Tribolium castaneum: one gene and its partners. Each later gene encodes a partner of the first gene's protein in a complex. Links are inferred from orthologs where the notes say so. Each region holds a gene or a part of one and is shown on either strand. Other genes may lie near its edges.

Region 1 (11,783 bases):
AACCACCCCATGGCTCACCCCCACGACCCCATGGCTCAGCCCAACCACCCCCACGTGGTCCTCCAGTCCGCCCAAAACAACCCCAGCGCTGGCTACGCCCAACAAAAGGGCGGCGATTGCGACCTGAAAACACCCTCAGATGGGCCAAATTTGTGGTTTAGTACTCACTTGTGATATCATTTTGATGGTACTTTGTGGTACTACACTGATTGCTGGGTTGGTACTCCGGTATTATATAGTGAGACAGTGGCCGAAAAATTGTAAATTTGCGCGAGAGATTGACGGTTTGAAAGTGGAACGAAATATTTTTGTTGCCAAGTCCAAGTCTGTGACATTTATTTTTTTGAAAAAATACCACACAGTTGGTTTCATTGGGCGATTTGTTGGGGAAAAATATAAATACAGGTATGTGTGTGCGTAATTTATGCGATAATTTTAATAAAACCTAATTAACTTGTATGAATTACCCAACTTTGGCGCAATTATAGTCGAATGTCATTAATAATACAATTAGGATATTATGTCATTACCGTATTAATTACCTTAGAATAGTTGAGAGGCAAAGAATGCTAAAAAAGACATAACATTCCACCCACATTTTTCTTTTTATGAAAAAAAAACACAAAATTAGGTTTTTTGTTTAAATCTAAGTTGGTTAAAATATCACTACTTTGAGTAAAATTTTTTACAAACTTATGTAATTGGCGCAGTCAGTAGGTTAGTTGTACAAATTTTTGGAAATCTTTTTCGGAAGAACTTGGACTTGACTTTTTAAAATTATTGTTTGCGTATTAATGTTATCATTGTGAATTACTGGAGGAGTTCCTTTGGTTTTATCCGAAGTGCTTATAACTACGTTTAATATCTTAGAACTGTTGGAACTGATCAACGGAATTACAGGAATCGTTTTGGAATTAGCAAAATTAAATTAGAATTGCGAGAATTAAATTGGAATTATAGCAAGAATTAGAATTTATTATCTCGAATTACTGTGTATACTAGAAATTGCTAGAATTTTTTTTGAACTCCTGGTGTCATATGTAAGTTCTTTTTTTTAATTACTGGTGTCTTTTTAGAATTATTAATTATGGAATTACTTAAGTTTACAGAATATTTTTGTGTCAGATGATTTTTTTGCTATTGCTGAATGATTACTGGATGCTGATTACTGAAAATGCATATTTACTGACTGACTGACTGTTGCTTCATATTTTTTGCTGTTGTTGAGTACTTGTTGAACACTGATTTCACAACTGCCAACAGATTTTTCCCATCTGCTTTATTTTTTTGAAATATAAGTTGTAACTCATATTATCACTAGAAACTCGTGATGATGGCAAATTTGAAATTTACGCTCAAAAGTAGAAAGAATCAACTTAGGATTCAACTCTTAAATTAGCGGCAACAGACAAATAGTAAAATTTTGCAAACCAGTGTTATCGAAAATAACACACGCTATATACTGAACATACATATTGTATAACCATAGCTAAAAAAATATATACCATTATTATACGATTACTTGGAATGAAAATTACGTTGAATTTCTTCTTTTCTAAAATAATTTAGAAAGAAATAAAACAAATAAGTTGGAATGAAGGAATACGAATTTACTAGAATTTCGAAGAAATTTTTTTGGAATCACTGCAGAAGTTTTTTTTGAAATTGGAAATTTTACACATTTTTTTCAAGCTAACGACAATATTATGCGTATTTTGCAAACGTATTTTGTGGCAAATGAGGATCTTGCAAATATTCAGCAATTATTCAAATAAAAAAATCCTTGGAGTTTTTTATTAAAAAAACAACACAAAGAATTAGCAGTTTTTCATTAAAACGCAAAATTTACTCCCAAATTAAATACTGTATTTTTTATAACTATTAAAAAAATGTTTGGTAACAGAACAATTCTTAAATTGTTAGAGTTTTTCAGATGAAAAAGGCAGTTTTTAAGCAAACAATTTTATTAAATTTAAAAATCATTTTTCGTCAAAAACTTAGGACCTTCTTATCGCATTTCATCAAAAATAATTCAAAAAATCGACAAAATTGGACATATTTAAATAGCTTTTTTTCGGCATTAAATATTTATAATGTAAAATAATTAATAAGGCTCTGGTGTTATAATTTTTACATAAAAATCCGGAAGATTAATAAAAATGAATTAATCATTTTTTGATTTTTGCTTTGAAGATAATACTTTTTTTTAAATAATGTCAGAAACTGAACGAATCCTAAAAAATTGTCAAACCTTTATTCCTCCAATATTTTTCTTTTAATAGTTAAAGCATTTGTACAAGTAGTAGCCAAAAAAAGCTAGAATTATTTAATTTTTTAGGTTATTTCACTTTTACAAAGTTCTACAAAATTTTCTTGTCTAATAAAAATGGAGAAAAAAAAAACTGATTTTTGGTCTAAAAACGTGTTTAAATCCCCAGAACTTTAAAAAATAATGCCATTTTTAACATAATCCTGTCAGTTCTTGGCTTACTGTTTAAGAAATTTTGCGAAATAATTGAGTTTTTGCTAAGTGAACGATTACAAAAGGTAAATTTTTGGTTCCAGTTTAATAAAAACAGGAAAAAAAATGAATGAATGTTTGATCTAAAAATGTGTTTAAATCTTCAGAACTTGCAAAACAATGTCATTTTTGACATAATCCTGTGAATTACTGACTTACTCTTTAATAAATTTTGCGAAATAATTGAGATTTTGCTAAATAACCACTTAGAAAAAGTATATTTTTGCTCATTTTTGACAAAATCTGGGTTTTTTTCATTCTAGTTTTATAAAAACAAGAAGAAAAACTTGATTTTTAGTCCAAAAACGTGTTCAAATCCTCAGAACTTGAAAAAATAATGTTATTTGTGACGTAATCCTGTGATTAAAGGTAAATTTTTGATCAAATTTGGTGATTTTTTTTCGTTCTAGTTTCATAAAATCTTGAAGAAAAACTTTTTGATCTGAAGACGTGACTAAAAAAGTTCTAAACGTTTAAAAACTGGTTGAATTAAAATAATTTAAAACAATTTTGCACCGAGATGCTCAACGCGCTCTCATTTTTACTCTGCGGTATTACTTTTTTTTCGTCTTTTGTTTAAATAGTTCTCCGAATTTAAACAAAAGAAGAAATAATACACCCATAAAAAAATCTTGTAGTTTTTTTTGGTAAAAAAACAACACAAAAAATTAGCAAATTTTTATTAAAACCCAATATAAATACATATTATGACGAAATTATGCCTCCTGTAGTAAAAAAATGCTCCCAAATTACAAACTGTATTTTTTCTACAACTATAAAAACTTCTAGTATTGTATACTGCGTTTAGTTTGGATGTCGTCCAAGACGGCTTGCAACTCCTCGTCTTCGAATCGTCCTTCCAAGCTGGGAATCAAAGACTTTGCCTCTTCAGTGGTTTCAGGACACAGATTAGCAATGGCTGCTAATTCGAACTTGTGCAACTTTTTCTGCATCAACAAACTATCAAACAATTAAACATAAAAAACCCAAAATTTAATGAAAAAATTACTTTCTGACGGCTGAGATCGTTTCCTTATTTTTAAATTTCCTAAACCTATCCGTGTAAGTAAGAGTCTTCATGAAAACATCGGAAAACTCTTGCTCATCTTCCGCCGACTCGTTCTGCGCCTTCCTGTGCTCCAACAACATGTGGACTTCCGAAATGAGCAAAGTTTCCGCATTCTCAAACTCTGTAAAGAAGAAATAAAACCAAACATTCACAACCGAAAGTATATTTGAGAAAACTAAGACACAGGTTTGACAATGTAACCCTCCTGTACTAAAAAATCGTACAAACGCCTAGTCTTATTCACATCAATTTTGAGTATTTTTCTCGCCGTTTTGAGTTTAATAGAACCCATCTTCTTGTTTTCAGTTATAAGAATGTCTTTGAGCTCGAGATAAGTGATGGGTACCAGTCGTACAGTACGGCACAACTCCCTCTCAGAAGGAGTCAGTTTTTCGTAACCGGGCATGCCGATGATTTCAATCGGAGTAAACCCGGATTTTTTCTTCGGAGTTTCCACCGGAAAGCTCCGGTTGGTCAACTTCCAGTTAAACTGCGCGCTGGCGTGGAGCGTCTTCAGTTCGTTTTCGCACTTGTCGTGAATTTCTTTCAATTTAACGTAAAGTCGGGCGTCGGCGAGTGACGTTATTCCGCGTTGACGTAATTCACACAATCTGCAAAACCCCCCTATAAAATTGGGCGCTTTTATCTCCATAAAAGCGACTTATTGATGTTTTCCAAAAAAATCAATGTCCCATATAGATATGGAATCCATACCATGCAATCACTTTGGTAATTAACTGATTAGTGACCTAAAAAGTTTGCGCATACAAAAATACCAAATCAGAGCGAATTTGTTATTTTAGCTTGTTTTGCTTGGTTTAGTTCGTTTTTAAAGATTTATTTGCTTGGCAAGATCTCGTCAAAACATACTTAAAAGTCGTAAACATAAAACGAAAATATATTATTTTGTTTGTTTACTTGTTTAATTTCTTTAGCTCGTTTTTTAAATGATGTTATAGTTGACTTTCCAGTTGTTTAAGCATGTTTTAAATGTAAAATTATAGTCTTTACACTTTTTGAACTAGAGATTTATTTAGTTCGCAAGATTTTGATCGTAAAAAAATCGAAATTCATTATTTTTTGTCTCGTTTTAGTATTTCTTCAAAAACCGTGGTCATTAAAACACTAAATTACTTATAGCTAAATTTTTGTATTTCAGTTGAAAATAAATTTGAGGTAAAAAATGCAATTTTCCTGAAGGAAAACGTGCTTGAAAAAACACATAATTCAGTCGAAAACGATGTTATTATCCTGTTTTTTAAATTTTTTACTACGTTTTTCTCCCAGAAAGTTATTTATTTTAAAAAATTCTTCAAAATTGAGAACTGGATCGAATGTAGCACTATTTGCTATGTCTCATGTTTAACCAAGGTTTTCAACCAGATAAAAGAATATTTATTTTGCGAGCTTTGCAAAAATTTCTCAAAAAATTGCCGAAATATGTGTAAAGTAACTTCGTTTTTGCAAGATTTTGTTAGAACGAAATACCAATAATATCACAAAACTAAGTCAAACGTTTTTCTTGTTCGTCAGGCTACAGCTATTTGAAGAATTTTGTCTGTCAAAAATTCTTCAAAGCCTTTTAGTTCGTTTTTAGCTAAAAATTCTCTTTCATATATTTTTATTAACCTTACAATTACACCAAAAATTGTGTTAATGTTGTCGTTTTCGTATCTTTGGGCATGTTTTAAAATAAAAAAAATTGCAAAAACTAACTGAAAATCCACAAATTAAATCGAAATTGTTGTTGTTTACTTTGGATTGGTAAATTTACTACTTATTTAGTTTGGATAATCTTGCCAAAACACGTCTAAAATATTACAACATAATTAGAAAATTCTTATTTTGTGATATTTCGCCAAAAAACATTACTTTGCAATTTCACGTGTTTTAGCATTTTTTTTTAAATTGTGTTTAAAAATGACATAAAAGCATAAACCAGGAGGAGATAACACAAAAGTCGATCGTTTTTCTTGGCCAAAAAATGAGGAGTTTTGTCAATCAATCAAAAAAAGATGTTACTCAAAAAAATCACAAAATTAAGTCAAAACTTTTGCTTTTGCAAGCCGAAGATTTTTAAAGACCAAAATTAATGCTATGTTGCAGCTTTTTGTGAGCCTTTATACATGTTTTAAGGTAAAAATTAAAGTGTTTAAAAATTCTCTAGCTAGAAATTCACAGAATTAAATCTAAATTGGGGTTATTTTAGTTTACTTTGCTCAATTAAGTTCCTTTTTTGAACGAGAAATTTAATTTAATTACTCTGCCTTTTTCGAAAGTTTAGCATTTCTTCAAAAAACGTAATCACCAAATTGTTATTATTATATTATATTTTTAATTATATTTAATATAATAAAATATAAATAATAATAACAATTATATATTATATAAATAAATAAAATAATTAAATATATATGTAATTATATTCTTAACTATCATATTTTAAAGCTCGTTTTTTTAAGGTAAAACGCAATTTTTACTGAAATTTTGCTAAACTTGCTTAAAAAATCTGCTCGAAGATGACAATATTTTACTATTTATGAGATTTATTACCACGTTCATCCATAAAAACACATTTATTTCGCAACATTTGCTCAAAAAGAAGCCAAAAAAATTGCGATTAGAACGAAATTAGCATTATATTTGCTTTTTCGAGTGTTGAAGCGCCGATTTGTTTGAAAAAAATGTTAATTCTGCATTTAGCGAGTGATATAACTTTTTTCGCGAGATTTTTTTAAACCAAAACGGTTCCATTGTAAATAGCTATTTGTGCAACGAGATAGAAAAAGTGAATTCTTTCTGGAAAAAACTTACGAGTTGAACACAATGTTTTGTAAAATTCCGTGAATATTGAAGAGTTTGAGAATTTTTCATCGAATTTTACAAGTGTTTTTTTTTCCAAAATACAAATTGTATTATTTTTCGTCACGCCACTAACTGTTGAAGTATGTTTTAACATTTTTCTTTGTTTTTATTAATCTTTAGTGAACATTTTTTTCTCCGTCGTGTTTTTTTGGAACTCAATAAGCCGCTATTATGGAAAATAACCAACTTTATATTAATTCAACCGTTTGATATGAACCTAAGAATTTGTATTTTGAGTTCGCCGCTGTGGTGTAACCCCTCCATCAACATTTCGAACTGGACAGGAGTACAAAATTGCATAAATCGGATCAGTTTTTCATACACAGGACGTGTAATCGTAACGTCATACCGATGAAGCCAAGCGTAAACTTTCCGCAGAATAATCAATCCGTGTTCTCTTATGATTTTTTTCCACCTTTGGCGCTCCCTCAACCGCCGGTTATAACTCTGAATGATCGCACATTGAAGATTTGTGATCAAGTCAAAATGAGGATCGTCCTTATCAACCGGTTTAAGGTTCGAGAGCAGATCCTCAGCCGACGAATCGAACTCGCATTCGAAATCGGACCTCGCGGGGTTATAACCGGCCAAAGACTTGTACCCCACTGTGTTGGGGGAGTAGCGAGGGGGCTCATCGGTGTCGCTAATCCGCTGTCTGTAGGGCACCACCGGCTCACAAAACCAGTCCCTTTTGCTCGCCTCGGGCAAGTCTTTGGACCCCTTTCTGTCTAAATAAAACCAATCGTAGTGCGCCCTAATCTCCCTCACACTCCGATTTGGGAACTCTTTCGCCACTAAATTCCAGTTCCCGTATTTTTGTAACGACTCTAACAACACCACCTCCTCCCGAGCCGTCCAGTCCGTGTTACCCCAAACCGGAAAATCGTCGCGGATTATGTGATAATCGTGATCGTTCTTGTGCCCCCCAAACTCCGCACCTTTCGAAAAACACAGCGAACAAATATTCACTTTACACAAAGCGCAATAAATGTAAGGCGCGACCAAATCGCACGAACAATTCGAACAAACACTATCAGAGTCACTAGAGTAAAACGCAGGGGGGCCACAGTCTGAAACCTCAGTTGAGAACGAGAAGTAAACAAGGGGGCTCACCTTTGGGAAACTGCAAGTCAGCGGCGTCTTCTTCGGTTAAGTCGGTGTTTGCGTTTGCCATTTTTTCGAAAACTGTTTGGATACCACAAAAACTTAGGTTATGTGCATAGGTTATGTGAGCGGCAAGCGCTGCCTACCTGGCAAAATTTAAAGCACTAGCACTTTACTAGTGCGGTGTTTTTTGACGATTATTTATGAAATTATTATGTAATTCGAACGCAATCGGCATAAAACGTGAAAAAAAAAATAATTGGGGAAAATTTGATTGTAGCCACGGGACCTCTAATTTGTTTTGTGTGAATTGTGTGATACCAACGGTGACTGTAAAAAGTCTCCAAACTGATTTTTGCCAAAACTGTCGTAATTTAATAAAACAGGCGATAAAAAATAGTAAAAATCGCTTTATTGGCGCTATGGTAGTTCACTTTACAAAAACTAATCAATTAAGTTAATTACATAATTATTTTTTAGGTTAGGTTACCAATGTCGCTATCAAGGGGGCCCCAAATCCTCTCCCTTGTGAACAAAACGCCCGTCTTTCTTAGACTTTTCGCAACGCAAATCGCCTCATTTGATGAAGTCAAGTCAGTAAAAACGACTCCTAAGACTCTTCTAATCGATGTCAGGGAGCCCCACGAATTGCAGGAAACCGGAGTTATTCCTGACAGCATCAATATTCCACTTGGCGAAGTCGAGAAAGTGTTAAAAGACATGCCTTCTGAACAATTTCAAAAAACTTACAAAAAGGCTAAACCTGATTCTAGCACCCCCTTAATTTTTTCGTGTCGTTCGGGGAAACGTAGTGCCCTTGCGTCCGAGATTGCGACGAAGTTGGGGTTCAAAGATATAAAGAATTATTCCGGGGGGTGGCTAGAGTGGGAGGAAAAAAGTAAAAATATTTGAGTTGTAAATAAATAATACGTTATATGAGTGTAGGGGTTGTAGTTTGATTTGGATTTAGGTAGTGCCGTATTTACTTATTTACTGCGGCACAAAAGTGATAAACATGGAATGTTAAAAAATAAGTCAAAAAGAGTTTGCAATCTACAAATCTCGTCAAAAATTTTTTGAATGATAACACCTTTTGAAAGGCCTGATCACCATAAGTCAAAAATACTCACAAAAGCAAAACCAAATAATAATTTTGCATGTGTTTTGCCCTGAAGTGGATATTAGATACGATTTCTTCATTTGTTGATGTTAGGAGCATCCAGCGCCAATGTGGACACAAACACTTATTGCAAAAAAACATCAGCGCCGTTTTGAAAACAACATTTACCTACTCCATGACCCCCTTCCGTACTTTTAATAACGTGGGACAGTTTCCTCGAACTTTTCGTCTTCTTTGTTGGATTTTTTAAATGTTAATTGTCAAATTGAAAAAGTGCGCGCGCATGCGCTTTGATTTTTAACATGTCATTCAAGAATTCACTGGTTGAATCTTTTTGATTAATATAAAAGCGTTTCAATTCAATATTTCTTATTTATTTCCTCTCATTGTCCCAATTTTTGTGCCCAACATTACCTAGGGGGGTAGAATTCAGAGAAAAACTGAAGATGTGAGATGCAACAAAAACAAAGACAGACTCATTAATCATCATTTTGTGAATTAACGTAGGGCACGTAGTGACTGTTGTAAAATGTGTAAGCATTTTGATTGGGCCGTTTGAGGTCGGCCATTAAAATTACGGAGAAAAACCAATCAGTTTGGATTTTTTGATTCATTGAAAATTGTGGTTTTGGATATGATTGGTCAATTTATGGTCAGCCATTATAATGAAGTTAGAAACCAATCACTTGAATTTTTGGACTCATTCACAATTCAGTGGGAATACCGTGAATGGTTGTTTTCCTCTTGGTTTAAATTTGAAAGCAGTCAATAAATAAACCTTGTTTTTTTTAAACGTCTTTTTTTTAATACTTCCCTATAAATAAAAAAATTATTGGTAAAATTGGCAACAACTCACCTCAAGTGCCTCAAATTTTGTTGATTTATTTCGATAAAAAAAATTACGTTTTCGTTGAAGTATTGCCAAAAATAATGGGTTTTGGATGTATTTCTTTCCTTTGAACGCATTATTATCAAAATTTTCTTTTTCGGATGTTTATTATTGGGAAAACACTAAATTTGTAGGGCACTACCCTGTTTTTTTCATGTGCCCAATTTTTTTGGCTTTGCTTTTTGCAGGGTTTTGGGCCTTTTTTCATTGTTTACTTTTGAGAAAGCCGCTAGATTTGTGAGATTCAACCTTGACTTTTAAGACGCCAAATGTTCTGGTCAAAGAAGTAACAATGTAGTATGTCCTTCTAAAAAGTTTTATTATGGAATTATTTAGGCTAATAATTCCATAATTATGGGGGCAAAAGTTACCCCAGAAGTACAGATTATAGTTTTTATCTTTAAAATTGCTTATCCAATTTTTATAAAATTTGGTATACAGTCGTTATTATAGATAATCATTTAATAGTGCAAATTGTAAGGTTGTAGAACATTGTTAAATCGGGCTACGAGAGCCCCCTTGCCAAAAATTGCTTCATAACTTTGCAGCACAAATTAATATGACTTTTGTTTTACTTAAAACTCATACCATTCAGAAAGTTTTCTATCCCTTGTAATTTTTTTTGTAAAATGTACCTTTTTGAGTAAAATCATAAAATGTGCAGAAAATATGCAGTCGATATCAACATATACATCACAATGTTTTTAAACTAAACAAAAACTTTACAAAATTCTTATCGGTAGGTATTTGTCCATGTTTCTGTTATTTTACTGATTTCGTCTCTAAAATTTTTACAGAGGATCTTTTGCTGTAATGTATAATAAAATAAAATATTCAAAATTAATCAGAAAACTGCAAAAAAATAAAAAATGCCAACTTTACGAATGAAAACTACGCCAGCAAACAGCGATTTAGAAACTTTTTGGTGTTTATAAACTGCCTCAAGTTGGATTCTTAAATTTTTTGAATGAAACTAAATTCTTTACAACTTTGTTTCTTACATTTTTTATTTGTAGCGTTTTCGAAATACGAGCGAAGCCAAAATTGATTATTTCTTGACTTCCACTGAATTGCAGCATTGTGTTAACAGATTAAGACTAGACTGGTCGTTTCGTTGTAAAATAATTGAATGTTCAGCGATATAAAAAACGCACTTTATTAAAGTACCAAAAATCTCAGTCCGCTGCTGGATTTGACGGTTAGTTTATTTAATAAGCAATTATAATTTAGGTACGCGAAGGCCGCTTATTTTTAGTACACAGGAATGTTTAGACCGATTTGAATAGAATATAATCGCAATAACTTCGAATTAATTTACTTTAATGAGTAGAAAAGGTGATAAAACCGCTGTTATCTCAATTGAGAGTTTGCGACCTCGCATTATCGCTTTTATTTAAATGAATGAATCCCCGAGACGTCCACCTTGAGGCAGGGACTCCGTCGTGCATCATCGCAAAGTTTAATTGGACTTGACCGGCGCGCCAAAAACCATTTCATATCACATGTTGCCTCCATCGTGTAACAATCACGCTCCCAACTTTGCTAATTTCCGCTGTTTCGTTATCGGTGAGTGCGAGTTGAGTGATGCGGCGGGAGTCCTGGTGCTTCCTCCAGGTAGGTAAACCCCTCGGCCTCCAAGTGCCGACTCTTGCTTGCCTTGGACGGTCCAATCCTAATCCCGACCGTTCAATCGAATTTATCACTTATTTACACTACGTGTTGTTATCAAACAGCACAACAGGTGCTCGAATGTTATCGGGGGGATGTTCGAGGGAACGGCAATGGACACGGACGTGTCCTATTATTCAAATGGGTTCGATAAGGAGTTTGCTTTCTCGTGCGTGAGGAGATTGAAGAACGAAAGTTTATGCTAAATATTCGGTTACAGTTGAAGGTCTTGGATGAGTGAGACAATCGGAAAAATACGAATTGTAATTATTTAAACAGTTTTTTATTAATTTCCATTTAGGAGATAATCTACCAAATGTGCATTGTTCTCACTACTTCTCACTCCAGTCTAGCAATTGCGTTTTTTAGCGACAAAACCATTAAAACATTATAAATTCATTACCCAAGGTCTTTGATGAGCAAATTATTCGATTAGTAAATTGTCAAGTGCACAGGAAAATTAATAACAATTACAGTAAAGTTCATTTGTGTCTCTATTCGATAAAAACTAATGTCAGGTTTTCTCTGTTTCGTTTTCCAATAATAT
Region 2 (11,032 bases), on another chromosome or scaffold:
CCATACTGGTTTGTATATAGTCACGAAAACTCTTCCCCTCCTTATGCTTAATCAAAAACTCAAGATACCGACTAAACTGTTTATCCTTAACGTAGGTATCATCGAGGAACATATCGAGCGTATCACCGGGATAACGCAACAAAAACTTCATTAGAACCTCCCGGAAGGGAGAGCTGGCCTCGATCAGCATGGCCTGCTCCGTTTGGAGAATAAGTTGGCACAACTGATTTATAAACTTCGAGGAGGCGGCCGGCGTTTGGTGAAATATCCCGATGATTGTGACGATTTTTTGCTCCTCGTCGCCTTTCTTCGACACACCGGTGGACACTACATAATTAATTGATTTCAAAATAATGCACGCCCCACGTTGGGCGCCACTCTATAACCATTGTACAAAGTGGCGCCCAACGTGGGGCCAGTCACCAAATGATCACCACTCACCTTTGTGGCTATTTGTCAAGTTTTCGAGTAGTTGTTTGAGCAATTCCAACAGTTGCTCACACAAACTCTCGTTGAAATTCAACGGGAATAGTTGTGTCAAATATGATAGCATTTTGACGCCGTTAAGGGTCAGATTTTTGGCATCGCCTAGCGTGAGTAGGAAGGGTTTAATGGTTTGGTAGACCAAGTCCTTGTTGACTTGATATCCAGCGATGAAATCACGCATACATTCGAATGCGGTTTGTTGTAGCTCGGCGTTGGGCTTTTCGAGGGCTTTGTACAACACTTGGAAAATTTGCTCGCGCACTTCTTCGAGGTAATGACAGGCGGCGAGGACGCGCAATGCTGATTTCCTCAACGGTATGAAATTGGTGATGTTTTTGTAGCAACTGAACGTGTTCAGTTTGACGTCTTCGCTGTTACACAGTGAGAGGAGGTCGAGGATGAACAAGTTGTGTTCTTTGATTGATAGATCGATTGTGAACAGTCGGGGGTTCAAGGTGGTACAGAACTGGTTGCCGTCCATTAAGCCCATCTGGGCAATGGCCGGTTGGTGTTTGAGTAGATGTTTGGTAGGTGGTACCATATCTGCTAGCACTTCTTTGAACGGTTCCATGACCGAAGTGACCGATTTGTTTTGTTTTTCGGCCAAGAGACGCAACGAGTGCATCGATTGTTCCCTCACCATAGTATGGGGACTGGTGACTTGACGCACCAATTCATGTGTGACCTCATGCAGCGCCTTCTTTTGCAAGTCACGCGTTTCCTGATCGGCACCTTTCGGTGGTTCCGTCACACAAACATTCAACATCTTCTCCAGATTATTCTTGGCCATATCGAGGGCGCCACTGGACACCTCACCCGTCAAATCCATCATAACGAACAGTAACGCTTTCAAGAACGTAAACATGTGTTCATAAACCCACTTACGGGCACACCGTTCGAACATAAAACTGATAGCTATACAGCCGCCTAATTTTGCATACCATGCTCTTTCGTAGCAAAGGGCACACATTTTTTCGGATAAATACTCAATCAAGGGTAAACGACAGGCCATTTCCTTGCTTCCGAGCAGTGTAGAGGCCGTATCGAGGATTAAAACAAGGCCTACGTGACCCGGCTTACACAACTCCTTCTCCTCATGTCCCATAATCACTGCCAGAGCATCAACCAACACAAGTGGGTCAAGTGCCACTTGTTCGTTATGTTTCGGCGTGCAAGCGAACGCGCCCGATTGTTGCGCCACCGCCACCATGGTGTAATGACGGACGACAGCAACCATCAAAGCAACAACTGGTTGCCGCAATTCTTTAATAGCTGCAGCAACAAACATTCCGGTGAGAGCGGTCTGATGTGTCTCACGTGCTTGTTTATAAATGCTCTTATAGACCGAACCCTTAACTTGAGGTATAGTTTTAGGGTCTTGGAACGTCGAGTGAAGAAACAGATTAATTAGCGTATTTTTATCATCAGATAGATTACGAGACGCAGTTAGGTAATAATTGATAACTTCCCACGCTTGTTTGCGGTAGAACGAATCAGTGTTGCTCTGTTTAAGTGCATTAAACGCAGTCTCGATTATCTGAAAGTACCAAAAAATGGGTTATTTTGTGGCGCACAACGTGGGGCCAAGTGGCGCCCAACGTGGGGCCACTCACCTTTTGCACCGGAAACTCAATCGTCTTATCCTGATCATAAAACTTGGCAATGATCGCTGGTGGGTCGTAATCGGACGACACATAGTCCAGTTTTTGCGGTTCAATCATCATTTTCCGATTCCCACCTCCAAACTTACCCAAAACTCTACAAACGCCAATTAGACCACCCCAAATGTTAAACACCGACTTACTTAAAGGCCACTTGCGCCACCTGGTCATTGTTACGCAAAGTCCGCCACAAGGCCTGCATCAAGTCGGCCCTGACCGGTTGGATATGTTCGTACAAGAAATCATGTTGTAAGTTATCGACGCACAATTCCAACGTGCGCAAGCCTTGACTTATCAAAATGTGTGAACCGTTCAAAGCCGACACTAACGGATCCATCAGCATAGGTAGGTAGGGTAAGAGTGAGCTTAACCGAACCGGAACGGTTAGACACAACTCAACGAAGAGATCCTTCATGTGTTGTTTGTGCAAACCGCTCTGTAGCCGGTTTAAACCTTCGAGAAGATTGGGCAAGAGCGGGAGGAACTCCTGGTAGAGTAAATCGTGGCTTCCGCCTCCGATTGAGCGGAAAAGTGCGCGCAAAAGGAGGAAGTAATTGTACGGTTCTTTGGCACTCATTGCCAACTCCATTGATCTAAGATAGTTTGGTTAATTGACGCACTCGCTACGCTCGCACTCACCTATTGACGATTTGGTGCAAATGTGGACGCAGCATGTTCTCGTTTTCTTGTGGAAATAACGAAACGCTACCAAACACTAATTTGAAGAGTTTCAAATAGAGATTGCTACGTTCGAGATTTGAACCCATCTCTTCCATTCGTTCTAGTAAATATTCGACCAAAACGGTCGCGAAAATTGGGCTTGTGGCCGGGTTTGCAAGCAAAGTGTTCGGAACCTACAAGGTTTTTTTAAATAGTTATTATGCCACTTCTTGTTTCAATGCATATTATAATACAATTAACTGCCTTTTTTTAGTGTCTTCTTATTTTTAAATCTAGTATAAATCCTATGTTACATAGGAAACAACTATGAAAACAACTTGTAAAATGAAAAATTTAATAAAATAAATTTAAGAGCAGAACTTTAAACATTTCTTCTTCACACACAAATATTTACTCTATTTCCATAAAAAAAGCATGGACAAAATTTACTCTGTGATTATATGCAGTAATTTTTAAGCAACGATAGTCAATATTATGAAATATCGGAAGGCAAGTCAGGTTCTTATCTTGGTTTTAGGATAAAATTGCATAGATATTAACGTAAAAAAAATTCAACGGGCAAAATTCTTGTTAAGTAACTCATATGTACTTATTTATTTATTTTATTTTATTTTCTTTTTTATTCTCCACCTTATAATTTCTATCCGTTCAGCATCTGCTTATCAAGTCACTTGTGTATTTACACATTTTTTTATCATTACATCATTCCTTATATCATCGCCTTCTTAGTTTATTTACATTATCAAATTATTATTTTTTACTTATTTTGCCTGGATTTTATATTTCTATTGAGATTGATATTACATATCCGATGACTTATTTCAATATATTTTTGATACCTAATTATATTTTCTTTTACTTATTAAAATATTCGTCTTTTTAGTAGTACGATTGTCTCACAATCACATTTTTTGTAGTCTTTCGAATTCGGAGTTTAATTTTGTTTCTTAATTTTCCCTTAGACTTTTCTAGTTTTTATTTATCAAGGTTTCTGTTACCCAATTTTCCAAGTGGAAAAAAGTGTTTTATCCATAAGACTTTGTTCCTTTGCCTTTCTAATTCTAAATATGTATTTTTATCCATATTTGTTCACATTTTCTTAGTCGATGTATGTATTTTTTCATTTAGTTTAAGTAGTTTTCCCTTTGATTTCATAATTTTGATTACAATTCTTCATTTAGTTCTTGTTTTTTTTGTTAGACTTTAAATATGCAATTCTACTTTTTTTAATTTCCATGATGCTTGATTATTTTTATCCATATTTGTTCACATTTTCTTGGTCGATGTATGTATTTTTTCATTTAGTTTAAGTAGTTTTCCCTTTGATTTCATAATTTTGATTACAATTCTTCATTTAGTTCTTATTTTTTTTGTTAGACTTTAAATATGCAATTCTACTATTTTATATCCATGATGCTTGATTATTTCTATCCATATTTGTTCACATTTTCTTGCTCGATTTATGTATTTTTTCATTTAGTTTAAGTAGTTTTCTCTTTGATTTCATAATTTTGATTACAATTCTTCATTTCGTTCTTGGTTTTTTTGTTAGACTTTAAATATGCAATTCTACTTTTTTAATTTCCATGATACTTGATTTAGTTTTCCATTCTTTAGTTTTCTTATACTCCATTATTTGTTTTGTTTATTCAGACTTTCTTCAGTTTTGTTCCATCAGTTTATAATTTCTGCTTTTCCAATTTTTTATTATCACAGTTGTACATATTACATAAAAACGTATTTCCATAAATACCTTCAGCAAAAATAATAGCCTTACTGAAATAAAGAATTGCAAAAAAAATGAGTATAGTAACATCATAGCTGAAAATTTGGTGATCGCAAATAAAAAAATCAATAGAAAACAGAACAAAAGTTTGATAGATTAATTTACTTACCGTTTGCAAAGTCGGATTCTTGTAAACCCTCTCGACCAAATACTCAATAGTCGTTGAAAAAATCTCGTGAAACGTTTGCGGATTCATCATCGAAAACTAAAACCGAAAAAATTAACCCAAAAAAAGCAAACTTACCAATCAAGTTACCACTCCACTGAAATGTTCCAAAACCACCTTCTCCTCCTTATTCCTTTCATTTTGTTGGTTAATCCTTTGGGGACCTGTCACTTGAGGTCCCGGATACAACGTATAGATATCTAACGCTTTCAAAGCCCACTTAACCAATCTGACAAAAACCAGCGTTTCATGCGGTTGAAAATGTTTCGTTGCCACCAAACTATGACTCGAACTCGACTTACACGCCGAACAGCCCCACGTTATAGTTTTAACCCCACACACTAAAGTCTTAACAAGACTATGATAATCAGCAACGTTGTAATTATTATTTTGCGGAAAACCAAATTTCGACTTTTCCTCCTTTTGTTCGGCGCGATTTTGCGTCGTCGCGAGCGCATTTTCCAGAACTTCCGCCGGATTTGCAGCGCCATCTTCAGTCTTAATCTCGACTTGTGTTTTTTGTTGTTGTTGTTTGCACTTTGCCGTTAAAATCGGAAGTTGTATTTTAGCTATTGTTTTAAATTTGACGACAAAAACTTCAAGCATGCGCATTAGCAACTCGCGACCTTCGGTGCTATTCTCGGCCTCCGAACGTGCCCGAATACAGTCGACGAGATTCAAGAGTAGTTTACACGACATGGTTTGTATAGTCGTTGCCAACGTGTCATCATGTACGTTTTTGCTGAACAAATGAACAGCGCGTGTTAAATCGCTGAGTGGCAGTTGTTGGCGCACGTGATGCACCAGATCGGCCAATGTGGAGTAGGCGAGTGGGCGGAGCGACTCATGCGTCGTCCAACCGCGGCCAAGGAGGACGTCCTCATCGAAGAGCTTCTCCATGTGGGGGACGAATCGATTTCGGAGATCGGTTGCTAGGATATGGCGAGCGGCAATGAGTAACTCGCGTCTGAGATGAGCCACTTCCATTGGACATAGCATGAGGAGTCCTAGCATGCCTTGGACCATCATGGCGGAATGGCTTTGGACGTGTTCGAGGTAGAATTTGATGATGTAGGCGAGGAATGATAGAGTTTTCACTTGAGCGCCCATAAAATCAACGAAGATTTCTTTGTTGAAAGTTGGGGCTTGGCGTTGTTCGGGACTGGGTTGGAGGGTGATTGTTTTCATGATTAGAGGGATAAAGTCACTGACGTCCTGATGGACGCTTTGTTTGTACAGTTGGTACATGAGGACAACGATTATTGGGAGTTCCTGAAGGACTTTGAGGGAGAGGACGGCTTTAGGGATTAAGTAATACTGAAAAAATATATACCGGTGAATGGATACTATAAAACCAGTGAGAAAATTGAGAAAAAAGTCATAATAAGTTGACGTTTAAGCAAAAATCGCTTAAAAACTAAACAAATTTTCTACCACGGCACATAGTCAATTATTACTGAAGGCAAAAAAAAGATGTTTTAGGACATTATTTTCTTCGAACAGAACTTATGAACAAATCATTATGTTATTTCAGACAATTTAATTCGTCAAAAAACTATTTTTTTTGGTTTTTTTTTTTTTAATTATTCAACTTGTTTTGACCTGACTTGACCAAAGAAACTCAAAAAAATCGCCAAATTTGATTAAAATTTTATTTCTGCCCATTTAGCGCGTGAAAAAATACAAGATATCTTGGATGTTTAATTGCTTATCTTATTTTGGCCTCCTTAAAAAATATAATAAATAAAAAATATAAAAATGAAATAAAATAAAAAATAGATCACCGAAAAAAGTCGAAAATACGCCGAAAATGTGGTCCAAGTATGATATTTTAACTATTTTAAAAAAGATTATTAATTAAATGTTCACACTTTTTGGCAATTTTAAATAAAAGAAAAAACAATATAGAAAAAGACAAAGTAAAAAAAACGTCAACAATTAATAAGTAACTTAATGTTATACACAAATAGTGCAATTCAATCTAAAAATACTAATTTACAATCGTAAGAAGCACTGTTTGGTTAATAAAAAAATCTTTAGATAAGTCAAAGTTTCTCAAAATAATTGCCTTTAAAATACGAAAACACACTTATTAAAAAAATTACCGAAAAAAATTAAAAACATTGGACTAAATTATATAATTTCAAGCTTTCAGCTAGTAAAGAAACTAATTTTGATGTGATTAATTAATTTTTTCACTATCCACTTTTTGTCTGTTTATTTGAATAAAAATGTCAATATAATTTAAAAAAGTATCTATAAGAACACGTAATAAAATAACAAAAAGAATTACGTTCATTTACTCGTTTTCGTTTACATTATTCGCAAACTATCCAGATTTCAACTAATTCTAAGTTCTAAATACAGAAACTCACTGATTAAAAAAAACACCAAAAAAAAATCAAAAAAATTGCCAAAATTAGTCTCAATTATGTTATTTCTGTCCATTTAACGTGTCATTCATTATTTTTTTAATTATTTACCTTATCTTGGCCTCTTTAAAAAAGATATAAATAAAAAATACAAAAATAAAATAAAATAACAAAAAAATACATCAACATTTTTTATGTTTCATTGACTTGTACTATAAAATTAAATGATTTTAATCAATCCTGAGTGAGTTATTTAGCTCAATATTACATCGGAAACTCAGTTATTGAAAAAAAAATCACCGAAAAAAGTCAAAATTCGCCAAAAAATTGTTCTAATAAAATATGTTACTTTAATTATTTTAAATGTAAAACTAATTGGTTTTTGTTAATTGTTCACACTTTTTGGCCCTTTTAAACAAAAGAAAAAGACCAAGTCTAACTTAATGTTATATACAAGTTTTTAGCTCATAAAAACCAATTTCATACAAATTATGTAATTTTCTGTATTGTTTTTGTAATTTTTTTTTTTTTTTAGAATAGCCTTTACCATAAAATTCAATAAAATTCTACACAGTCAAGAGAAACATTTTTTTCTGTCGAAAAATCTTAGTTTTAATCTCAAAATGTACTTAAACACTCAAAAACGCACCAAAAAATTAAAAAAACTACCTAATTTGTGGCCTTGTGGCTTAAATTCCACGATATCTCGTTCAAAACAAAAAACGAAAAACTCAAAAATACTCAAGAAATGTCAAAATTTGAAATTTTTCGAATCATTTTTTGACGAAATTTAAATAAAAATCGGCGAAATAATAACATTTACGAACCAAATTAATGAAATTTCAAACCGATTCAGTAAAATTGCGTCTCAATCTCAAAAAAATGCCTTAACATCCAAAAAAAATTACTACATTTCCAACTATAATTGCCCAAAAAAAAACATATTCAACATAAATTTGTAGTTTTCTGGCCGAATTTAACAAAATCTCGCTAAAATCTATGTTTAAACTTTTAAAACAGTGATTTTAATAGATTAAAACAAGTAAAAAAAACACAAAATAAACGTAATTTTGGGAATTTAGACGATTTTATTAACAAAAATTCGTTAAAAATCAACTTCTTTAAACGAGACAAATGCTATAATAAGGTGCATTTAGGTATTTCCAGACGATATAGCTCCTTTTTAAAAGAGAAAAATTGTTTCAAATTCTTTAATACATAAATGTTAGCACATAATCGGCGTTTTTTTTAAGAATTTGTAAATTTTTATTGCAGCAAAAAATAAATTAAACATACCGTGACTAAAGTGTCATCTTTATTCTTCTTCTCAGTTTGTATGGTCGTCATTGTGAACGTCTCCTTAAGTAACTCCTCAATGTTCAACTCATTTAAATTATTGACTTTAATTGGCGCCCTAGGTTCAAAAATCTTGTCCATATGATTGGGCAAATCCGAATAAATTGACTTAACAAATTGGAGAAAATGTTGTATCTACAAAAACCACTTAAATCTCAAACAAAATTAATTAAAAAAAAAAAATCACTTCTGGATTAAACGCCGGCCGATACTGCTTATGCAACTCGATGATAATCTTCAAACAGATCAAAACATTCTCCTCATTATCAATCTCCAAAAGGCGCAACATGAGCGACAAAATCGACTTAACATAAGGTCTCAGAAGATCATTCGTTGGCAGTCTGTACAACATCTCCAGAATTAATTTACGCACTTGCTGTATGTTATACTCGGCGATAAAATGCGGATCGCCCTCTTGTAGTATTTTCAGGAAGATTTTCACAGAGTGGTCCAAAAAACTCTGATAGAGAGACGACGAAAGAATGATCTGAAAGCCCACTTTCAGGGACATTTTTTCACGGTTTTGACCGCAAATACCTCGAAATTTTTGCTAATTTCCTGCGTGGCTTTCAGTTTCAGGACGTCCTTACAGTTGGCGTCCCCCAACATCGTGACGTAGCTCCTGAACTGGTTCATTTGAGTCGTATGGGGGTCGATGCCCGCCATGGTCGAAGAACTTGACTGCATTTGGGGCCCACTTCACTTTTTACATCTTAAAACCTTAAACGTAAAGCCGGGGCTCAAAATTTGCCGAAAAAACGAGCAAAAAACGTTCAAATTTGAGAAGTGAATGAACAACATAACCTCCAAAAAAAAACAATCAGATAACCGACTTAAAGTTGACGCATTTCATTCGTGTAAAAAACGTATCGCTTAATTGGGCCAAAATCTACTAACTTTTTCGAAAATTGCACGTTTTTCTAACACTGGAACACTTTTTTCCGTGTTTTAAACATATTCACGATGAATGAATGGGAAGTGGCTACGGTTAACTAGGTGAAGAAGTGGCTAGAGTTGCGCCATGTTGTTTGGAATTATCAATTTCTGGCCTTTTTGCCGAAAAATCGGAACACAAAAACTAGCACAATTTGTAAAAAAAACGAGCAATTTAATTGTGCTTGTATTGTGGCTTAAAAACCAGATATTTGTGGCTAATTGTGGTAGGCAACCAATCAAACACAGTCGAAAAATAAATAATTTTATTCATCAATTAAATACAAAAATAGTTGTTTGTACAATCAATCACCGTCGGTTCTATAAGAACTAAGTTTTTTCCAACTAGTTGAAAGTAATTACGTCATGTCTGTATCTGCACCGTGTAAATCCCCTCGTTTTTTATCACTTCCGGGCAAAACCCTTGGTTATCAAACCCATCCAAAACCTTCTTGCGTTTGAAATAATCCTCAATCTCCTGCAAGGATTTGTTCTTAGTTTCGGGCAACACAAATTTACAGAAAAACAGCGCGACCACTGCTGCCAACAAAAAAGTCATCAAAGTGCCGCTGAAATTCAAATGTTCGATCATATCAGGGTAGATTTTGACAAACAGGAAGACAAAACACTGCGCTATGCAGATGACAATCCCGCTCATGATGGACCTAACTTCCAGCGGGAACAACTCCCCGACCAGAATCCACGGAATCGGGAGCATCCCCACCATGGAGAACATCACATTGAAGACGACACACACCAGGGGAAGTACCGGCAAAACCCGTACTTCCCCCGCATGCATCTCGTAGTATTTGAAATAAACGACCATTGCCAACATTGCAACGCTCATCCCCCCGCTCGAGGCCATGCAAAGTAGGCGACGGCCGAACCTATTCACTAGAATCGCAGTCACCATTGACATCCCGAACCGAATCGCCCCGACAATGATCGAAGACACGTAATTGTCCAGTTCGAGATCAGTCTCTTCGAAGAAATTCACAGCGTAAAAAAGAATCGTGTAAATCCCCGATAATTGTTGGAGAAAGAACAAAGTGACAAGGATGAGGAACGGTTTAATGGTGGCAGCACTGCAGTAGATTTCTTTGGCGCTAATTTCGATTTTCTCACTTGAAGCGTGTTTAGAAACTTCGGTTTGTGCCAAAGCTACGTTTCGCCGAAACCAAAAATAACTATCGAAAGCTTTGGAGTGAAGCCCGGCCTTAATTAAATACGAGGGACTTTCCGGAAGAAACTCGACCGCAATTAGCGTAAATAAAGCAAATGAAACGCTCAAAAAAGCAACAGTTGACCACGAGAGGACGTAACCAAGTGTGTAAGTGAGTAAAATCCCGAAGGAGGCGCAGATGGGGCCCAGCGATTGCAGGATTCCCCGGTTTTCGGGAGTCGAGATCTCGCTCACGTAGGTGTAGCACGCTGTCGACATTCCTGCAAAAAACGTAGAAAAAATAATGTATGCAACTATTGCGCCAATTTTTTTTTTTCACAAAAAATTGACAAAAACCCAACATAAACCAGTAATTAGCAATAAAATGGACAAAAATTAGAAAAAAGTAATTTATTTTTATACTATTTA
Region 3 (9,890 bases), about 9.9 Mb from region 1:
AATAACTTTATTACAGGTCTAGGTTTGTAAAACAAACCTCTACAATTGAAAATTTATTTTAGTTATTTAACAAAAAATTAACTTACAATTCTTGATTAAAAAATGGGATTGAATAAATATAAACCACTGAGTTTGACCCTGTGACCGCTAAAAGCCCCATCCGCCCCCCTTCCAAGTTGTAACACCCTGAAGGACACCACTCCATGTGCCACACAGGGCCGTAATCATGCGCTAAACTAAACACTAATTCAGGTTTTTGCAACGAAGCTTCCGTATTTCGAAGTTGACCGAAATTCCAAAACTGAATCGCAGACCTTACTTCATAACTCTGATAAGTCTCGTATTTTTCATCAGGAGAGTTAAGTACCGAAACGGCCAAAACCTGACTGGTTTCCAAACACGTGTAAGGCGTTGGCAACCAGGACATTGCCGAAATAGGGCCCCCACAAAACAGGGTTATTTTGTGGTCATCGTGAATTTGCGATTCAAATAATTTGTATTTTTCGTACGTGTACGAGTCTTTTAGCGTGTTTGTGAAACACGTTACGTGGATTCGAGCCACGTCACAAGACTCCTCAAGTTTTGGCAGATATTGAGCGGCCGTCTCGGGTCTAAGGAGCGGCCAGTTTGGTTTTAAATTCTCAAAAAGTAAATCAGAGAAATTTTCCTCACAACTAAAACAATGGCACGCGAGTTTTATAAATATTTTTCTGAAAACGCAACACTCACAATTTTAAGGTCCAGTCGAAAGCATACGGGAACAGGCATTTTTCGGTTTTTCGCACCGTGCTTTGCAAAAATGAGGGCATTTCTAAAAACGTATTTTAAATTTAACTCGGTACATTTAAAGAACATTCAAATATTCAAAATTAATAGGAATCCCCTGTTTTTTCTTCAAGTATACGGGATGTTTTAGCAATCAGTTACAATTCAAGGCGAGTCTGTTGTTTTGCGAACATAATGTTTGCCAAAACGAGTGAGCGCAGCAAACAAGTTTTCCAAATTATACGATTAATAAAATTACGTACAATAAACTTTAAGCACTCACCTTGTAAATGTATTATTTATTAATTTTCTTTTAGTTTTTTTTATTGTTTTCAACAGTTTTGTCGAAAAATGTTTTCAAACTTCAAACCTTATTTTTTTTTTGTATACATACTACTTTTTTTCAATTTCATTTAAACACACATTTTTTTTGAGTTTTAAAATAATGTTACCTGATCTGGGGCTCCCGTAATTTATTTAAATATTTGAACACTTAATGGGAAACACCTGTGCTATACTTACTGTTGGATTCTTTGTCCACATAACTGGGGTCGCCATCAACTGTTACATTAATTTCATGAGCAAATTCAATGTGATAAATAATGTCTTCCAATTTGGACGAAATCAGCAAACATTGCTTGCAAACAAAACCCTGAAAAAAGTAATTAATTCAGGACGGAACAACACAAAACGTACTTCACTAAATTTTTCCGGACATTCGTTCAAATGACTCAAGGCATCTTCCATGCTTGTTGTAATACAATTACACTTGAATTTACATTCTATAAATTGTGTCTCGTCTAGCTCTTTCTGCATCAAGTCTTTTGCAAATTGTTGTGAACCTAGATCTAAATTTGCTGAAAAATACTGGTCCTGAAAGAAAAAATTAAAAACTTACACGTCTCTAAACCATTTCACCTTATTATCAACTTTCGTAACGTTTTCAATAATTCTCATTGCTCTGAAACAGTCAAATAATAAATAAATTCGGATTTTTACTGTAATTGTACTTTTTAGCCGCACTTCTTTTGGAAGGAAGCGGTTTTGCCGCGTTATTTGTCGTTTTTTCCGGAACCTCCTCCTTGTCCGGATTCTGGTGTATCATTTTCATGTGAGTTGTTAGACTCACTGGTAGCATTCTCCTCCCGCACAAGTCGCAAGAAATTTTAACAGATTCGAGCTGTTCTCCCGATTTTAAACATTGGGAGCGGTGAGATAAAAACCCAACTACTGATTTTTTTACTTCCCCGCATTTATCACAATATAAAGGTTTCTTTTTCTTGTACAACGAGTTGAGAGTGTGCATTACAAAAGATTGGTCGTTTAAGTCCTTAAACATTTCGTTAACTTTTAGTCACTAACATTTAGGTGACTCACTAAAGGTGGGTCTCCAACCCTCCACGCTAAATTATTATGATATCTCTGCTTATGGTGGGTCCATATATTTTTGTCAAATGTGCTGTTGCAAATTGCACACGTGACGTTGCCAGTGCCGTCATCCAAGTCTTCCTCTTTCATGTTATCTTTTCGTTGTCTCTTGCCTGACCTGTTATTAATTTTTATTTTTTTTTAAGTTTAATAAACGGAGTGATTTAATTAACAAAAAAAAATTCGAATTTTTGATAATTTTTTGAGTGATTTGAACCTTAAATTTTAATATTCCAGTCACAACCACCTACCTTTTACCACTGTTTGGTAAATTGTTACCATTGCTGGTATTATTTGTACTGTTATCATCACTAGTGTTTGCAAATAAACTGAACAGTTTATTCATCATTTTCACAGTCTCGCCTGTGTAATTGTATCTTTTGTCCTTAGAGTTCGGAGTGCTTGTGGTTGCCTCAAAATCTGTGGTAGAGTCCTCAAGAACCAAGTCTTGAAGCAAACTATCATCTTCTTTGCCATTCGTTGATTTAAATAAATCTAACGCATTTTTTATTACGCTGTGATAACTAATTTGAATAACTCACCCTTTTGCGGCTCATTATTACTTAAAACATTGTCTTCATCTTTCTGCTTCGCTGATTCTTTACTGTCAGCAGAAGTTTCGGAAAAATCTGGTTCTTGGTGCCTAACTTTTTTTTTCTTAATTTTTATTTCCCCGTTTCCGCTGGTACTAAAATAGTTGATTTCCGTTTGGACAGGTAGTGTATATTCCAGATTATCTGGATTAGCTAATTCGTAATAGTTCACTTTTTTACGTAGGCGTCCCCTTCTTGATACAGTTTCTTCCTTTGGACTTGTATCAATTTCCTCCTCAAACTGTCTCACAGTAATTTCTGATTTTCTTTTCCTTCCTCGTTTTTTGGGTGTTGGGGGCTTGGTTTCAGCGTTTTCATTTTTTTCAACACCAACTTCGCTACTCGACATCGTGCACTTTTTTCAAAGATTATTTATTGCTTATTTACTTTTTTTTCAACATTCTAAAATATCATGCTTGGGTAAGCGCACTATTTGCGATAATGATGAAAAAATCTGGAGAATTTACTTACACGAGTTCATTCACATAACCTCAATGTACGGCAGCTTTGCGCCTTTTTGTATCTCTAGTTTGCTTATCAAAAAAACTATTTTTGTATTAAATATAAAAATTGTTCTGCGGTTACGTGCTAAATGGAAATTAAATAACTTTTTTTCTATTAGAAAATGACATTATCTTGGGGATATTTCAATGAAAAAAGTGTTGCCAAGATCAAAACATGGCAAACATGTTACGTTGGCACTTAGTTGGCGCTTAGTTTTAAAGGTTTTTTTTCCATTTATTTAATAATTATTTTTATTACTTAATTATTTACAGGGACTACATTACCAAGACTGTAATAATGAGTGTTTTTCAGCGTTAGGAAATTGGTTATTTTATCCTGTTTAGACTTCGTACGCATAAGATTGCAGATGAATAATTTTCTTGTAAAAAACGTTGGGTCACTATTTATTGAATGTTTGTGGTTGATACAAAGCCTAAATCTAAGATATTAAAAAATAAATGAAAACAATAACAAAATATTTAAAGCGTTTAATAAATCATTCGTAATCATCATCATTGTTTGGTAGAGCCGAAGCTTGGGCTTGTGCCGCAGCTTGTAGTTGCTCCCATTGCTGTTGCTCCACAAAAGCCTGCTCTTGCCTAGCCTTGGCGAACAACTCCTGCTGTTGTCTCAACAACTCCTCTTCTGGTATTCCCAAATTTTCTAACCTTGTGCTCTGTCGCCTGCGTTTCGCTGCAACAGCCTTACAGTCCTTAAGAACAGCTTCAGCTTCGGTTTGATAATCTCCAAAACCCAACTTTTCTAAAGCTGCGAAAAACTTTACTTTTGTGTTGTTTAACAATGATGAAACATACCCATCAAAACGTGTTCCGCATTTATAGTCTTTTTGTCCAATCGATTACATATTTCGTTCGCTTCAGAACTAAGCAAATGGATAAATTCCGTACAACAGTTGAGGATTAATTCCCTTGCTTCATTTGCAACTCGAACTGATGGGACTAACTCCTTTATCATTTTGTTAATGCTAGCCCGAGGCAAAGTCAGCTCATCGTCTTCGGTATTTGTTAAACCACCAGCATTATTTTGATTAGACATTGTAAATTGTTATATTTATCAACAAAAAAGAGATATTTAACCTCAAATAGGGACAGCTGGAACAATTTGACATGTCAAGGATAATGCTGTTAGAGTCCGCGAAATGACAGATCGTCATTTGTGTGAAGACAGCTCCCAAAACCAGCTCCTCGAATTTCCGAAGAGACCCGAACATGAAGCCAGTTTCAGACTAGCAAAATAAGTTTCAGTTTGCTTAGATGTATGTTTGGTTGTCAGCTTTGAAACCGTTTAATAAAATAAAAATCCGAAAAAACACTAAACACCCTCTTAAAAATGACATTTTAAGAAAGTCACTATGCTAATAGCGAAAAACTCAATTATTTACCACAAATTGCTTTTTAATTTTTCCCACTTTTTCACCTAATTTCAATATTTATGGCTCCGCAAATGCATTATTGTAGTTTTCGCCCCATTTCACCCCGAAATCGGTTTTGTCACACAATGCCCTTTTGACCACTAATTCAACAATAAAAAAGACGTTTTTTAAAAATAAAATTATGGCCTTTTAGTTGTCGGAACAATGTTAAAAATTGTTATGTTGCCCAGCTCCGCAAATGCACTGTTGCAGTTTTCGCCCCATTTCACCCCGAAATCGGTTTTGTCACACAATGCCCTTTTGACCACCAATTCAACAATAAAAAAGACGTTTTTTAAAAATAAAATTATGGCCTTTTAGTTGTCGGAACAATGTTAAAAATTGTTATGTTTTCCAGCTCCGCAAATGCACTATTGCAGTTTTCGCCCCATTTCACCCCGAAATCGGTTTTGTCACATAATGCCCTTTTGACCACCAATTCAACAATAAAAAAGACGTTTTTTAAAAATAAAATTATGGCCTTTTAGTTGTCGGAACAATGTTAAAAATTGTTATGTTTTCCAGCTCCGCAAATGCATTATTGCAGTTTTCGCCCCATTTCACCCCGAAATCGGTTTTGTCACATAATGCCCTTTTGACCACCAATTCAACAATAAAAAAGACGTTTTTTAAAAATAAAATTATGGCCTTTTAGTTGTCGGAACAATGTTAAAAATTGTTATGTTTTCCAGCTCCGCAAATGCATTATTGCAGTTTTCGCCCCATTTCACCCCGAAATCGGTTTTGTCACACAATGCCCTTTTGACCACCAATTCAACAATAAAAAAGACGTTTTTTAAAAATAAAATTATGGCCTTTTAGTTGTCGGAACAATGTTAAAAATTGTTATGTTTTCCAGCTCCGCAAATGCACTATTGCAGTTTTCGCCCCATTTCACCCCGAAATCGGTTTTGTCACACAATGCCCTTTTGACCACCAATTCAACAATAAAAAAGACGTTTTTTAAAAATAAAATTATGGCCTTTTAGTTGTCGGAACAATGTTAAAAATTGTTATGTTTTCCAGCTCCGCAAATGCACTATTGCAGTTTTCGCCCCATTTCACCCCGAAATCGGTTTTGTCACATAATGCCCTTTTGACCACCAATTCAACAATAAAAAAGACGTTTTTTAAAAATAAAATTATGGCCTTTTAGTTGTCGGAACAATGTTAAAAATTGTTATGTTTTCCAGCTCCGCAAATGCATTATTGCAGTTTTCGCCCCATTTCACCCCGAAATCGGTTTTGTCACATAATGCCCTTTTGACCACCAATTCAACAATAAAAAAGACGTTTTTTAAAAATAAAATTATGGCCTTTTAGTTGTCGGAACAATGTTAAAAATTGTTATGTTTTCCAGCTCCGCAAATGCATTATTGCAGTTTTCGCCCCATTTCACCCCGAAATCGGTTTTGTCACACAATGCCCTTTTGACCACCAATTCAACAATAAAAAAGACGTTTTTTAAAAATAAAATTATGGCTTTTTAGTTGTCGGAACAATGTTAAAAAAATTTATCTTGTCCAGCTCCGCAAATGCACTGTTGCAGTTTTCGCCCCATTTCACCCCGAAATCGGTTTTGTCACACAATGCCCTTTTGACCACCAATTCAACAATAAAAAAGACGTTTTTTAAAAATAAAATTATGGCCTTTTAGTTGTCGGAACAATGTTAAAAATTGTTATGTTTTCCAGCTCCGCAAATGCATTATTGCAGTTTTCGCCCCATTTCACCCCGAAATCGGTTTTGTCACACAATGCCCTTTTATATTTTTTGTGCATAATAAATGACCCAATTTTGATTTTGTACAGACACAGTTAATTTCTTTCTCTTTATTGTTTTTAATTTTAGTGTCCAAGAGGCCGTTAATACTAAGAAATTGTCTTTTTTGTGTTTTCTACAAACTGTGAATATTAGCCCTTATTTAGTTACTTATTTGTAATATTTATAATATTCATCCAACAATTACGTCTTTCTTAAAAGAAAAATTTAAAGCAATTATAATCCAAGTAAAACTATATTTTTTAAGTATTGTCGACTACAACACAAAATTTACTATCCAATTAAATAAAGTAACAAATCAAGTAACAAACTTATATTGCACATTTCCTTTCAAATTTAAACATAAATACAGAATGTTTTACACAACGCCTTCTTTCAAAACAAAAATAGTGTAGTAATTAGTAAACCTTACCTTCTAAGATTATGCAACCTTCATAAACCTTATCTGTGAAATTATGACGGTTTTTGTAAAAGTGTTAAGACTCATGCGCCCTTTCAATAAAACATAAAAGACTGGCTGTCTCTGCCGACCAGGTAAGATCTTAGGACAGAAAACAACTGTGCTTAGATTTTTTGCAGAAAACTTTTTTCGAATCTTACAAGCGGAATAGCGAATATCAAAAAAACATAATCATAATTAAATATAAAGTTATAATGTGCGGGTAAAAATTTGTTCGAATAAATTCGGGTTTCTTTTCAATAGATATCAGTTACCACAAGATATACAAACACAATAGACTAATTATATCTTAGAGGATAAGGACTACTAAATACTATTTCTGAATAACGAAATTATAGCTTTAACAACAAATTTAAAAATTTGCACCAAATTTAAGACGATTAAACTTCGAGAATCTTGGAGAACTTGAAGTTGTCGAATTACTGACTATCGGTTGAGTTGATTCGGAGTGGAACATAAATACTGTAAAACAAAAAGATTGTATTTATAATTGGAAATTTATTGAGTTTATTTCAACATACGAGTACCTTGTATTCGTGATAACCACTTTTGTTTTTTCTCATTTTTCGTGGTAAACCTTTAGAGCCTGGCTGTCGATTGAGTTAATCCGAAGTGGAACATAAATACTGTAAAACAAAAAGATTGTATTTATAATTGGAAATTTATTGAGTTTATTTCAACATACAAGTACCTTGTATACGTGATAACCACTTTTGTTTTTTCTCATTTTTCGTGGTAAACCTTTAGAGCCTGGCTGTCGATTGAGTTAATCCGAAGTGGAACATAAATACTGTAAAACAAAAAGATTGTATTTATAATTGGAAATTTATTGAGTTTATTTCAACATACGAATACCTTGTATTCGTGATAACCACTTTTGTTTTTTCTCATTTTTCGTGGTAAACCTTTAGAGCCTGGCTGTCGATTGAATTAATCCGAAGTGGAACATAAATGCTGTAAAACAAAAACATTATATTTATAATTGGAAGTTTATTGCGTTTATTTCAACATACCTTGTATTCGTTACAACCATCTTTGTTACATGTTAAACCATTACAGACATCAAGGATCAAAGAAACATCTTTTTAATATTAGAATTTAGAGTTTTTTCATAATTCTCAAAATTATGCACTTTATCATCCGGTCCAAAAAACACCCAGAACACTTTTCAGTGTAGCGAACACCGAAAAAGTAGTTCAGTGCTGATAACACCCAGAAAATATTTCAGTGCTGATAACACCCAGAAAATATTTCAGTGCTGATACCTACTCGTACAATACTAATAGAGCTATTTATCGAAAAAAATATCTAATAATATAAAGTACTGATCATATAAACGGGAATATTACACTAAAAATGTGTAGTAAATGTGTAACAGACAATCAATGTCATGTCCTATTTGTTCAAAGTCACATAATTTGTAGAGTTGCCCCGATTTTTTAAAGATAATTGCGCGAAAGCGATACGAGATGATAAAAGCTTTGAACTGGTGGACTAATTGCTTAAACCAAAATCATTTGTATAAAATATGTAAACGTATCGAGCTGTAAACATTGCATAAAACAGGATCATACTCTCCTGCACTTTGATAATACTTCAGTAGACAATACCCATGAAATTAATGAATAGAATGCTGCATCCACTAAAAATATTCTGTCAGTGTAATTTGGTTTTCAGCTGAAATGTGTTGTTATCCACTGCGGAAGTTCAAGTACCATCTAGGTACATTGTATCAGAATGGCACAAACTACGTAAATTTGTATTACAAGAAAACAAAATAACTTGTTTTTAGATGTTCACACCTTTAATAAATTTTTTTTGATAAAGTTGTCTTTTTCGTCTTTTTTTTCTGTGATGTCCGAAAAGGGGTGATCAGGTAATAATCCGTTTTGACCTGATAAGATGCAGTGCCGAATTTCTAGGACTCGAACACGTAAAGAGAGGGTGCCCGGTATTTGGGGATTCAATAGTGCCCAATTTATGCACGCCTGTTATCATAACTCGCCTGTTTTGGTGATAATATTGTCCGATTTTGGGAAATAGAAAATAAAGATGCAATAAATGATAATTTACTGAACACCCTTCACAGAATTCTTGTGAAAAACATTTTAACAAAACACATGGGAGATTCCCAGATGGGCGGTTTATGGTTTATGGTTTATGGTCCTTTTAAGCAAACGCCGCCTGATGCCCAAAATAGCTTTAAACCGTTTGTTGTCGGTGGAGAAAAGGAGAGCTAGGGATCATAAACTAAATGAGGGGTACGTACATTTCGTTCATGAAAAATTATTTAAAATTGGGACATATGGAACTCGTAGTAAACGATTCTACCGAAAATTCTTTTCACTTATCACACAGTTGTGTAATTATAATTAATGAAAACAGTGATAGTACCAAGTTGATTGTAGTCTGACTGACTGTTCATGTAAAGCTCTAATAAATTGAGTATAAATGATAATCTGTTAGCAGGCCCGGTAATTCAGCCTGATTTATTTCCGATTTTAATTCAATTTCGGATATATTTTTTTAAGTATCGTTGCATATGGGTCCATCCTGACGATCGCTATCAACTATCAAAAAATTCTGTGAAATAAAAAATTGGGCGAAAACTGCAATAATGCATTTGCGGAGCTGGACAAGATAAATTTTTTTAACATTGTTCCGACAACTAAAAAGCCATAATTTTATTTTTAAAAAACGTCTTTTTTATTGTTGAATTGGTGGTCAAAAGGGCATTGTGTGACAAAACCGATTTCGGGGTGAAATGGGGCGAAAACTGCAATAATGCATTTGCGGAGCTGGAAAACATAACAATTTTTAACATTGTTCCGACAACTAAAAGGCCATAATTTTATTTTTAAAAAACGTCTTTTTTATTGTTGAATTGGTGGTCAAAAGGGCATTGTGTGACAAAACCGATTTTGGG

Evidence for each region.
Region 2: transcriptional adapter 2-alpha (region 1) and Nipped-A share a complex: the UniProt entries of both Homo sapiens proteins name them as parts of the PCAF complex. The link is inferred for Tribolium castaneum from reciprocal best matches to the Homo sapiens genes TADA2A and TRRAP.
Region 3: transcriptional adapter 2-alpha (region 1) and NC2beta share a complex: the UniProt entries of both Homo sapiens proteins name them as parts of the ADA2A-containing complex. The link is inferred for Tribolium castaneum from reciprocal best matches to the Homo sapiens genes TADA2A and DR1.

The regions. Positions count from the first base shown.
Region 1 is NC_087398.1:11,839,612-11,851,394, forward strand, and holds transcriptional adapter 2-alpha, read right to left. Parts: upstream 7,711-11,783; 5' UTR 7,630-7,710; coding exon 7,569-7,629; intron 7,526-7,568; coding exon 6,673-7,525; intron 4,202-6,672; coding exon 3,766-4,201; 3' UTR 3,738-3,765; downstream 1-3,737. Other genes in the region: adult-specific cuticular protein ACP-20, read right to left, coding at 1-123, 169-180; rhodanese domain-containing protein CG4456, read left to right, coding at 7,982-7,984, 8,040-8,471. UniProt on the Homo sapiens protein: Component of the ATAC complex, a complex with histone acetyltransferase activity on histones H3 and H4. Required for the function of some acidic activation domains, which activate transcription from a distant site. Binds double-stranded DNA.
Region 2 is NC_087401.1:16,692,591-16,703,622, forward strand, and holds the start of Nipped-A (transcription-associated protein 1), read right to left. Parts: upstream 9,534-11,032; 5' UTR 9,406-9,533; intron 9,229-9,405; 5' UTR 9,196-9,228; coding exon 9,046-9,195; intron 8,996-9,045; coding exon 8,696-8,995; intron 8,644-8,695; coding exon 8,449-8,643; intron 6,098-8,448; coding exon 4,871-6,097; intron 4,820-4,870; coding exon 4,724-4,819; intron 3,002-4,723; coding exon 2,787-3,001; intron 2,741-2,786; coding exon 2,291-2,740; intron 2,245-2,290; coding exon 2,100-2,244; intron 2,024-2,099; coding exon 442-2,023; intron 328-441; coding exon 1-327. Other genes in the region: facilitated trehalose transporter Tret1, read right to left, coding at 9,806-10,884. UniProt on the Homo sapiens protein: Adapter protein, which is found in various multiprotein chromatin complexes with histone acetyltransferase activity (HAT), which gives a specific tag for epigenetic transcription activation.
Region 3 is NC_087398.1:1,907,044-1,916,933, forward strand, and holds NC2beta (protein Dr1), read right to left. Parts: upstream 4,466-9,890; 5' UTR 4,347-4,465; coding exon 4,106-4,346; intron 4,059-4,105; coding exon 3,787-4,058; 3' UTR 3,764-3,786; downstream 1-3,763. Other genes in the region: uncharacterized protein LOC103313276, read right to left, coding at 1-39, 87-674, 730-811, 1,288-1,417, 1,462-1,638, 1,684-1,726, 1,776-2,095, 2,143-2,311 and 2 more. UniProt on the Homo sapiens protein: The association of the DR1/DRAP1 heterodimer with TBP results in a functional repression of both activated and basal transcription of class II genes.